3 linked regions of the Caenorhabditis elegans genome follow. The protein of the gene in region 3 purifies or fractionates together with the protein of the main gene of each other region. This does not show direct contact. Each region holds a gene or a part of one and is shown on either strand. Other genes may lie near its edges. The genes, in order: R10E4.3, unc-85 and pat-10.

What was found.
Region 1: the proteins of pat-10 (region 3) and R10E4.3 fractionate together in Caenorhabditis elegans (co-fractionation; one large-scale study listed by BioGRID). This does not show direct contact.
Region 2: the proteins of pat-10 (region 3) and unc-85 fractionate together in Caenorhabditis elegans (co-fractionation; one large-scale study listed by BioGRID). This does not show direct contact.

What each region holds. Positions count from the first base shown.
Region 1 is NC_003281.10:4,285,342-4,289,098, reverse strand, and holds R10E4.3 (uncharacterized protein), read left to right. Parts: upstream 1-1,619; 5' UTR 1,620-1,626; coding exon 1,627-1,800; intron 1,801-1,910; coding exon 1,911-2,192; intron 2,193-2,239; coding exon 2,240-2,345; intron 2,346-2,814; coding exon 2,815-3,072; intron 3,073-3,140; coding exon 3,141-3,238; 3' UTR 3,239-3,258; downstream 3,259-3,757. Other genes in the region: DNA replication licensing factor mcm-5, read left to right, coding at 1-247, 294-715.
Region 2 is NC_003280.10:4,700,532-4,703,876, forward strand, and holds unc-85 (putative histone chaperone asf-1), read left to right. Parts: upstream 1-1,537; coding exon 1,538-1,649; intron 1,650-1,698; coding exon 1,699-2,165; intron 2,166-2,213; coding exon 2,214-2,364; intron 2,365-2,433; coding exon 2,434-2,531; 3' UTR 2,532-2,688; downstream 2,689-3,345. Other genes in the region: scc-1 (Sister chromatid cohesion protein 1), read left to right, coding at 1-266; F10G7.9 (C3H1-type domain-containing protein), read right to left, coding at 2,953-3,095, 3,226-3,320. UniProt on the Caenorhabditis elegans protein: Histone chaperone that facilitates histone deposition and histone exchange and removal during nucleosome assembly and disassembly.
Region 3 is NC_003279.8:5,018,250-5,021,831, reverse strand, and holds pat-10 (EF-hand domain-containing protein), read left to right. Parts: upstream 1-1,745; 5' UTR 1,746-1,768; coding exon 1,769-1,771; intron 1,772-1,839; coding exon 1,840-1,891; intron 1,892-1,941; coding exon 1,942-2,048; intron 2,049-2,455; coding exon 2,456-2,611; intron 2,612-2,661; coding exon 2,662-2,829; 3' UTR 2,830-2,850; intron 2,851-2,905; 3' UTR 2,906-3,049; downstream 3,050-3,582. Other genes in the region: C46H11.6 (PDZ domain-containing protein), read right to left, coding at 57-250, 742-955.

The sequences.
Region 1 (3,757 bases), on a different chromosome or scaffold from region 3:
GTTCATGTGAATGCATCTGCTGCTAAAGAACGTGATATTGCAGGAGTCCCAAAAACAGCCACAACTGATTCAGATGGTGTGATGACAATGTTCGATACGGATGGTTTCTTGACTATCGAGTTCCTCAAGAAATTCGTCACATATGCTCGTTTGAACTGTGGACCACGTCTTACTCCGCAAGCTTCTGAGAAGCTCGTTAATCACTACGTTAAGATGAGAAATCCAGTTGTCAATGCTGATGCTTTTAGTAAGTTTAAAATATCATTTTGTAATGAAAACCCATAAATTTTCAGAATCAGGAAAGAAGGCTCATAATTCGGCAATTCCGATTACCGTTCGTCAACTCGAAGCCATTGTTCGTATTGCTGAAAGTATTGCAAAGATGGAGCTTCAGCAGTTTGCCACTGACAAGCACGTCGAGGAAGCGCTCCGTCTGTTCCGTGTTTCAACAATTGAAGCGGCGGCAACTGGAAATTTGGCAGGAGTCGAAGGATTTACTTCAACAGCTGATCAAGAAGCATTGAATCGTATCGAAGTGCAAATGAAGAAGAGATTCGCAATCGGTACACACGTTTCTGAGCATTTGATTGTTCAAGACTTTGTTGCTCGTCAACATTATAGAGAGTCTCTTGTCAAGAAGGTTATCGATAATTTGGTCCGTCGTGGAGACTTGCAACAAAAGATGCAACGCAAGATGCTCTACCGTGTTCGATAAATTCTCAAAATTTTGTCTTTTTTATCTGGATCTCTTTCTCATACTCAATTCTTAACATATTTTCTCATTCAATTTGATTTTAAACTGTTCTAAATTATTAAATGAACGTTTGCTTTTTCGAAGACCTTGAAAAATAATCAAATTCTAGTTTATGATCGTGTCAAGAAAACACATCAGAAGATTTTCACCGCTCGTTTGCTAAATGATGGCATGCCTGCTTAAAGGAATATTTTTCCAAAGTTCTTCTTGAATAATTTGATTTTTGGCAAATGCCCCAACAATGGTGAACTTACTCAAGAAAATTTACTGATTCACCAAATAAACAAACAAAAATCACTTTAAGCCGAGTGTGAGGTTGGTAGCAGTAACTGAAAATTGTGGAAACCTAACCTAAAGGTAGTCTTCGACATAAGTTTCATTTGGAAGTCCGGGATTAGGTTGAAATACTTCCCTTGTAGCTAAGTACGGTATTATTGCAGGAGTACTGTAGGATTTGCGTAGTTTCGGAAAATTTGAATTTGAAAAAATGTTGCTATTATTAGGTTAGGGTTGGTGGTACTGTAGGGTTACTGTAGTTTGGGAAATTTAAATTTTTAGCATTTAACATGGGCCGAGAGTTGAGATAATGGCGAGGGTTTTGTGGGATTGCCTGGGTAGTTTGGGATGCATTTTAGCTTTTGAAGCGGATTTGAATATTTGGTTAAGATTTTGTGAAGACATTGTCGAACGAATACAATTACAAACGACACTTTTTCATATTCAGGTTGAAATGGAAATTCATAAATATTTATAGCTAAATGTTTAAAAAATAGATAAAAATTATATTTTTTCAAAATAAGAAAAGGACACGTTTTTTTTCTAAAATGTCCAATTTCAAAAAAAACCAAAAATTGATTTATTTTCTATCAAAAATGACATCGGCGTCGTCGCAAGAGGAGGACGGAAGCGAAGAAGATGAACATTTTAAGTCGATATTATTAATAATCATGTTTGGCGCACAATTTGTTTGCTTCTTAATCGCATGGTTTTGGTTTTACCCGAGAGACGAACCACCAAACAATCAAATAATGCATAAGTTGGAAAAGGTATTCGAAGATTTTCTTTCAGGCTCGTAAAATTTAATGTGTTGTGTCTGTATACTACACAGAAATGAAAAAGTGTGCAACCACCGTTCGAATATAATTTTTAATTTCAGGACACTGCAAAATCTCGAATAGCTGGAGGCACAGTTCGTCCGATCAGCCGTCTCACTTCCCGAGAAATCCGCTTTTTAGCTCATCATGACACGTGTCATGAACGTGGCTTTGAGCTGACAGAAGACGATAAAAAGTTGTTGAAACTGGCAAAAGAAGGGGAAATCAATCATTTGAAGCATGTATCCAAGTTATTCGATGATCTGACAATGAATTGTGGCAGTATAATTGTTAAGCGAGGCGCTTCGATAGAAACTAATTTTAATAATGAGACTATGGAACAGGTATTCATGAATTTTCTGATTGTTTTGGGCAATTAAATTATTTTCAGTTCGACAATGATGAAACTGCTGGAATTGAATATTTGGTACCGTTGAAACGATCGAAGGAAGAAAAGGAAAAGAAAAAGAAGAGGAAGACGAAAGAAAGAATGGATGGTAAGTTACCATATATTTTAATTTGCGCGTGAAATTATGTGCATTGAGTGTTTGCACACAATTCATGTGCAGACACACCATATTTCAAGAGCAAGTTCAAAACACATATAATTGAAATATGGAGCATGTTTCGATGCACAATATTACGGGAACAAACAATATCTCGGAGCGAAAACTACAGTAATTCTATAAATGACTACTGTAGCGCTGTCGATTTACGGGCTCATTTTCGATGATTTATGATTTAATTCATTTTGAAATTCGAGCCACGAGAGTAAATCGACACAATAGCTACAGTAGTCATTTATAGAATTACTGTAGTATTCGCTCCGAGATATTTCGCGCGTCAAAAATGTTGCGCAGTACGCATTCTCAGAGTTTTGTGTTTCCGTAATACGCGAGTGTGCGATTTACGCGGAAATTTGGTTTAATTGAGGTTTGATTAAGAAATTTGAAATTCGAATTCCAGCCCTGGACGAACTGACACGTGTCACTTCAAACGATCGAATTCCTCTGTTGTCTCGAATAGTTCACCACAACCAACCATCACGAAAAACACTGAAGCCAGCCACATCAACAATCCGTGAACGAACACTTGAAACTCAGTCAACGATGGAAGATGATAAAACACAATTAAAAGTGATCAGAAAACCATCGTCTAGACCACACAAGAAGCCATCCACAATGGAGAGTGCTGTGAAAAAGAAGAAATCGGCGGCAACGTTAAGTAAGTTGGGTTGAAATTTGACGGGCTCCTCTTCATTCGTATTCATTTATATGAATAATTTTTTGCAGAAACTGTTCGTAAAACGACACGGGATGAGCTGTCACTTGCAACAACGCTCGAGGAAACAACACGAAGCAAGAAAAATCCGTTGTCAAAGGAACCCTGATTTAATAAAAATTATTTTAAAACATGTTTTACATTTGGGCCTGTTTAATACCTTGTAGCGTGACAAGCCTGTAAAATATGGCCGTACCGATAAATTGGCAATTAGTCTTTCCCGTCTCTATTAGTATCGAACTTTTTCTTTTAGATGCTCCGCACTATTATTAACTCCAAAATACTTCAAATTTCTTTGATTCTGCGAAATTTTCTAATTTTATTATTTATTAAGAAACCATGAGTTCTTGAGAATGTCTACTTTCTGGCGCAAAAATGGCGGCAGCAGAGAGAACATGCAGCGACGAGAGATTTAGGAGCCTTCGCTACGAGATATTCCCGCGCCAAAACGGTAGGCATTCTCATGATCTCACGGTTTCTTAATAACTGTGTTCCCATTGTTTGTATTCTAAAGTTCTTGGAGTTCAAAAACCTGCAGAAATACTCAAACTTTTGAAAAACGTTGATTGAAAATTTTGAAATAAAATATGGAGAAATAAAATAGAAATTTTAAAAAAACCAACAATTT
Region 2 (3,345 bases), on a different chromosome or scaffold from region 3:
ATATTGAGACTTCGGGACAAGCGGACTTCTCATCTGTCACAGCAACTGCCAAGAATCGCAAGCAAGCTGCAGAGCAATTTTATTCGTTGCTTACCCTGGCCAAGTCTCAAGCAATAAGTGTTGATCAATCAGAGCCATACGGAGAGATCGTAATTCGTCCAGGAGCCAATTTCAAAGAAGCATGTCCACTGAGCTCTCCGAAACCGATGGGACTTGGAAATACAATGGAAAATTCCACTATGAGAACCCCAATGAGACCAGTTTAATCGTTTTAGCTTATTATTATTACTCGCCATGCATAGTTTAACCTCTTCATTGTATATGGTATCTCGATTTTCTTAAAAGCAAGTATTATTTTTATTCCACGATTATTCATATACGGATATTATTTTTGCGGTATTATTTGTTCGAAAAGTACGAATGTACTATCTTTTTCTGTAAATAAAAAGCATCACGGTTTTAATGTTCTTGTTAATTGCTCAGGTTCCGATTAGTCGAGAGAAGAATAGCGAAAAAAAAAAGATTAACTCGGCTCTACTCAACTTCAACGTTTCCGTGTACAATTTCATTCATTCCATCTAGTTTCAAGTGATTTGAGATTCGCTTTCTTCGTATGAAAAAATGACTACATAATTATGAAACTTGGTGAATTTCATCTACAAACGCGTAAACGTTATTAAAAAAGCTGTTAAAATCTGGAAATTACATTTTTCCATAACTTTCAAGACAGGACACTCCGCTGCATTAGAAAATGTCTTCGAGACTAAATGTACGGATTTTACTAAATTTTGAGGCAATTCCGAATAATTTTTGCATTTCAGGCCCACCGTGAAACATTCACGAGGGTACGCGCAGAAAGAGAAACGCAGAGGGGGTACGTTTTCGTAAGGGGATTTTTTCGTAAGGAACGCTTTCAGTAGGGCAATGTGCGGCGCGCCTTTTCGCAAGCCCGCCGCACAGTCCTTCGCAATCGATTCGAAATCGATTGAAACCCGTTTTTGTCATCGAAAATTCTGAAAATATCCGTATTTAGCTCGAATAAAACTAATTAATTTCCATTAAAAATCCGTTTTTAATTGAATTCCGTTCGAAATTTCCTGTTGGAAAAATAAATAAATAAATACGAAGAAGCGTGCGGCGCATTGCAAAAAGCCGTGCGGCGCATTGCGAAGGACTGTGTGGCGGGCTTGCGAAAAGGCGCGCCGCACATTGCCCTACTGAAAGCGTTCCTTACGAAAAAATCCCCTTACGAAAACGTACCCCCTCGAAACGCAGAGAACAAAATGCAAGCGCGCTCCACCGGTACGCGCCAATCGCCACCATTTTAACTTACATAATTGCGGGAATTTTTGATTTCTCATTTTTTCTCATCATTTGCGGATTCATTTTTGCAATTTCATTTACCTAAAATTGATACACTTTTTGTTAAAAATGATTTTTTTTTCAGTTTTATTTTGTTTCATGCCAATACTGTTGTGAATTGTCTTTTATTTTGAAAAAGTGGGCTCCTAAATAATTAATTATATTTTTCTTTCAGATGGCTTCCCGTGTCAACATTGTTCAAGTACAAATTCTCGACAATCCTGCGATGTTTGTCGACAAATTCAAGTTGGAGATCACATTTGAAGTTTTTGAGCACTTGCCGCATGGTAAGAAAGAGGAAAATATAAACTCATCGATAATAATGATAATTTTCAGATCTCGAATGGGAATTGGTCTACGTCGGATCCGGAACATCCCGAGACTTTGACCAAGTTCTCGATTCAGCGCTCGTTGGTCCAATTCCAGAAGGACGCCACAAGTTTGTGTTCGACGCGGATCATCCGGATATCTCGAAGATCCCAGTCGATGATATCGTCGGTGTCAGCGTACTTCTCCTGCGCTGCAAGTACAACGATCAGGAGTTTATCAATATGGGATGGTTCGTGGCAAATGAGTACACCGAGGAAGAGCTCAAAGAGAATCCCCCATCGCAGCCACTCATCGAAAAGCTTTCCCGCAAAGTCGAAACTGAAGATCTTCGCATCACCACATTCCCGATTCGCTGGACTGATGAGGATCCGGTCGCAGAGCCTGTCGAGGATGAGGCTAACAGAGTATTCGCGGAAGATGACCTCATGCCTCTGAATGATGATGGCCAGGAAGATGACGATGAGGAGGAAGAGGTGAGAAAATGAATTTTACTTATTCAAAAATTAAATAATTTTATTCAGGATGATGACGAGATGGAGGCCAACGCTGAAGAAGTGGATTTGAACGAGAGCTTCAATGAACGATTGGCCAATGCACTTGACGGGGCCGAACAGAAAGGCGCAGATGAGAAAATGGAGGACGATGGAGCAAATGAGGATGTTGATATGGCTGGTAAGTGTTACTTGGTTTCTCTAACCCCTTCTTGTTTCGTGATGTGTGCTTCTCACCCTGTAATTATAGATGACGAGCCTGGCGTTCAGATCAACACTGACACGAAAGTTCCGGAATCGATGGCGGAGCCACTCTCAGACAAGACAAACAACGAAATGGTCCAGTGATTTCACTTCCAGTTAATTTATATATTTTGAACTTATTTTTATTCCCACCCGATTTTCAGTGACTGTCAAAAATTCACATAATTCGTTCTTTCATTTTTTTTCTTTTCAAGAATTTTCACTTTGAATGTTTTCCGAATAAAACTGTACAGTGTCATTCATTCAATGTTTTTCTTAAAACAAACAACTGAATTATATAAAACTGGTTTATTGTGATTGTACTATATATATAATACACCGGAGTAAAATAAACAGGCAAATTGATATGACAGTTTGAACGTCAGCTTGATTTGTAGAGATCACACCGTTTCAGTAAAGAAATTGATTTAAAAAGAAAATAACTGGAATTTTTAAAAATGTCTAGCGAGTTCTACTTTTGATTTTCCTCGATTTTTACTACATCCTATCCATTTTCTCGTCCGGTTCATCGCCGATTGGCGAAAAAAGCGAACAACTTGCTTTTGTATTCTGGTGTCTGACGAATGACCACATTGAAGAATTGATCCATTAGCTTTTCAAATTCTCGGAATTCCGGTAGAAAGTGCAATGTTTGTTTGACAGCCGGCTCTGAAACGGGCGAGGATTACGGTAGCTACGGGTGACCTGAAAAGTTAGATAATCCTCCAATGGGACGAGTGGGAATCAATGAAAGACACGGGGGGAAGTATAACAGAGAATAATCGGCGTGTAGAAGAACCTATGTCGGATTCGTTGTATTTAAAAGCTTCGCGGAATAGGCCTTCGAGAAGTTGTGCTTGTTGTTCAGCATCAGTAACGTCGTGAAGATGAAGACTGAAAAAACTTTTGTTTAATAAAC
Region 3 (3,582 bases):
TCAGATTTCGTATATTTTCGAATAAGATAATCATGTCGATTTTTCTTCAATTATACCTTTTCAACTTCAATAACAAAGCACGTATTGTCCCGTCTCAAAACACATCCCGATTTCTTCAACCGTTCTCTGGTCGCTGGGATAATATTTTTCCGTCTTGTAACCTCAACACTACATGTTTCACCTTTCATGAGCTCTGTCTGATACTTGGATATATTTCCACTGGCACCGTTCACCTTGACTATTTTGTCGCCTGAAAGAAAAGTATTTTTAATCTAGTTTTTTAAACTGGTTTAATACATTAATTGGAAAAGTGTAAAGTGGAAAAGAAACTAGGGAGTCTTCCGAGGAAAATTGACTTTTCCTGGCTCAAAATGTATAATTGTGGACAGAAGAGTTTTGAAACCCTTGTACCAGTCAAACCAATTTTTGCCTATTATTTTATCGGGGATAAATATACATTTGTTCGGCAAAACATCACAACTTCATAGCAAACTCTTGCAACTTGAAACAAACATTTATAAACAATTGCCAAGAGATGTTACAAAGTTGCAAAAACCGGAGCAGTTCTAAGCGAAATGTTTCATAAAGTTTGCCAAAAGAAATTGCAAGAGTCATCTGAAAAGCTGCAGAAATTTGTTAGAAAACTAAAGTAAATAATGGTTTGTAAGAAGTTGCAAGATTCTGTTATGAAGTTGGCCCGCTTCAAAATAGTTTCGGGTTATCCGGCCGTTGGAAACTTACTCAATATCAATCCATTGTAAAACGAGTTTGTTGATAGGAAAGAAACCATCGAATTCTCATTAATTCTAATAACTTCATTCGCAGGCTTTCCGACATCTTTTTCATCAATCTTGAATGAAACTGTCATATTTACAGTTTCCACATTCTGTGGGATCGGTGTCAGCCAACATTCTTTCATCTTTTTGTTCGTATTCTGCACTTTTTTCTTCGACATTCTTCTTCAAAAGAAATAACGTTTTCCGAAGTTACTTGTTAGCTCCAAACTCACGATTATGGTTTCCTTTTGAAATCCGGAAATTTAGTGTCAAATGATAAATAAGAATGATTAGAAATCTACCTCCTCCCCCTCGACTAAACTGAATTGGAAAAACATAAAGTTTAAATTCAAAATGGTGTGTCACGCGATAAAAAGTTACTGGAGAAACTTGAGAATTATAAAATAGTATTCAAATTAAACGTTTGATATAAAACTGTAAAGATATACATACTCAGTGCACATTTAAAAAAACTGAAAAAAAAACGTTGTTGTGTTCTGAAGCCCAAAAAGGCTAGATGTTCTGGTCACCATGTACAGCTAAGAATCCAAGTATTCTGGGAAAGTTCAATTACATATATTGCCTGTCAACTCCATTTCTGTACTTAATTCTACTCCAATTATATTATTTTTTTTCTATTTCCTGGACTTTTATTGATCCTTGGTTGCCTGTCCCCCCAATCTTTCTTCGTACTCTCCTCCCGTTTCCCCTTCCTTCTCGGAGAGCCTTGTCTCTCGAATCCTGTGTTTCGCAAAAATCATCGTCAACTTCCACACAGATATCATTCTGCGTCTCTTCGCCCTCTATGATCTCTCATGCCCGTTGATCAGGAGCATCTGTCACCCAGTGTAACACCAAGAATGTGTTTTGTGGAGGAGACGATGATGCCGTTGTGAGAAAGAAAAGCCCGCCCTCGGGTTCCTCCGCCTACTCGCTCCCGCCGTTGCTTCTGCCCGACGAAGCTTATCCAGAGCACAACAAACTCCGACAACATGGTGAGTCCCGCTTTCTCATGTCTTCAATAAATTTCTTTTTGAATTTTTATATGTTTATACTTTTATAGGCTGAGGATATCGAAGAGATTCTTGCTGAAATCGACGGATCCCAAATTGAGGGTAAGATATTTTATATTTATGATTGAAAAATCATCATTAAAACTTTCTAGAATACCAAAAGTTCTTCGATGCCTTCGACAGAGGAAAGCAAGGATACATCATGGCCACTCAGATCGGTCAAATCATGCATGGAATGGAACAGGATTTCGATGAGAAGGTAAATCATTTTGGAACTTTTGGTTTATGTAGAGTTAGGGGATCTTCAGAAGAGTGATAATTCAAATTAGGAAGTTTTCAACTCTTTTAAATTTAGGTTTCACGGTAATGATTAGGTAGGCCAACTGAGTAAGATAACCGAAAATATAAATGGGTTACTCTTGCCTAAAATTTTGTTTTTATCCGACCTATCTTCTGCGGCTTGTTTCTCAACTGAATTCAATTAATTTTCGCCACTAAAACATGTTACTAATGTTTGTGAAATAATTAATTTTGATATTCCATCTGAACAAAAGCATTTATTATGTCGACTAAAGTAAGATATAACTATATGTTATGAAATTTAGTTATAGAATTGATGATTTTGATTTTTCTAAATCTATGTGGCATCTAACTTCATTCTTTTAGACCCTTCGTAAACTGATCCGCAAGTTCGACGCTGACGGTTCCGGAAAGCTCGAGTTTGACGAGTTCTGCGCTCTCGTGTACACCGTTGCAAACACTGTCGACAAGGAAACATTGGAGAAAGAACTTCGTGAAGCTTTCCGTCTTTTCGACAAGGAGGTTTGTACTTTTAGATTTTGCTTTTTATTCTTTAATTATTAATTTTTCAGGGTAACGGATATATTTCTCGACCAACTCTGAAGGCTCTTCTCAAAGAAATCGCCGATGACCTCACCGATCAACAACTCGAGGAGGCTGTCGACGAGATTGACGAGGACGGTTCCGGAAAGATTGAGTTCGAGGAGTTCTGGGAGTTGATGGCTGGAGAGTCTGATTAAATTTTCTAATTCCTTTAAAATGTAAGTGTTCGAGCTTTTTTTGATTTTATTCAAAAACTAACTTTTTATTTTTCAGCGCTGATCTACAATCTTCAACTGTGGGGACCAGTCACCAACTTTTCATAATTTCCTTTTTCTTGAAATGTTAAATTCATTTCACTTTTTATTAATTTTCTTGTCATTCTTTTGAATGAATAAAAATGAATAAAAGTCTTTGTACATCCACAGGCTTATTGGAAGAGTGTGACCAATTTGAAACGGCCAAAATCAGGAAATAATCAGAAGAACTAGACTTCTCAAATCCTTTAACACAACATCAAATCCGCAGTATAGTGCTCCGTTTTCTCTTGACCTAAAAAAACGGGAAAAGTCCATCTACGGGGAATGGAATGACAAATCTCTATAAATATAGAGATTCACCGTTGCAACCTTGTTGTTTGAAAGTGAAGTGTCTCTAAATAGAATGAAAATTATGAAAAATGGAAAATGTATTAAATCACTGCAAATGAGACCTCTACTCTGCGGCATTACAGTTTTTACCGTTTTAGCGCAACAGGACAGTTTTTGTAAATTTGCAAAAGTAAAGTGACAATTCTCTATGTAGATTTTCTACGAATGAATTTCAGGATACTTGTGAACTTGCAAAACAGTTTTTCACTATTTCAATTGTTCCAAATCTAAATTCAACAAATCCCTCTCTTTTTCTCTATCTGTGCTCAACTCTTTTCTATATAAACTTAGTGTAACATAGGC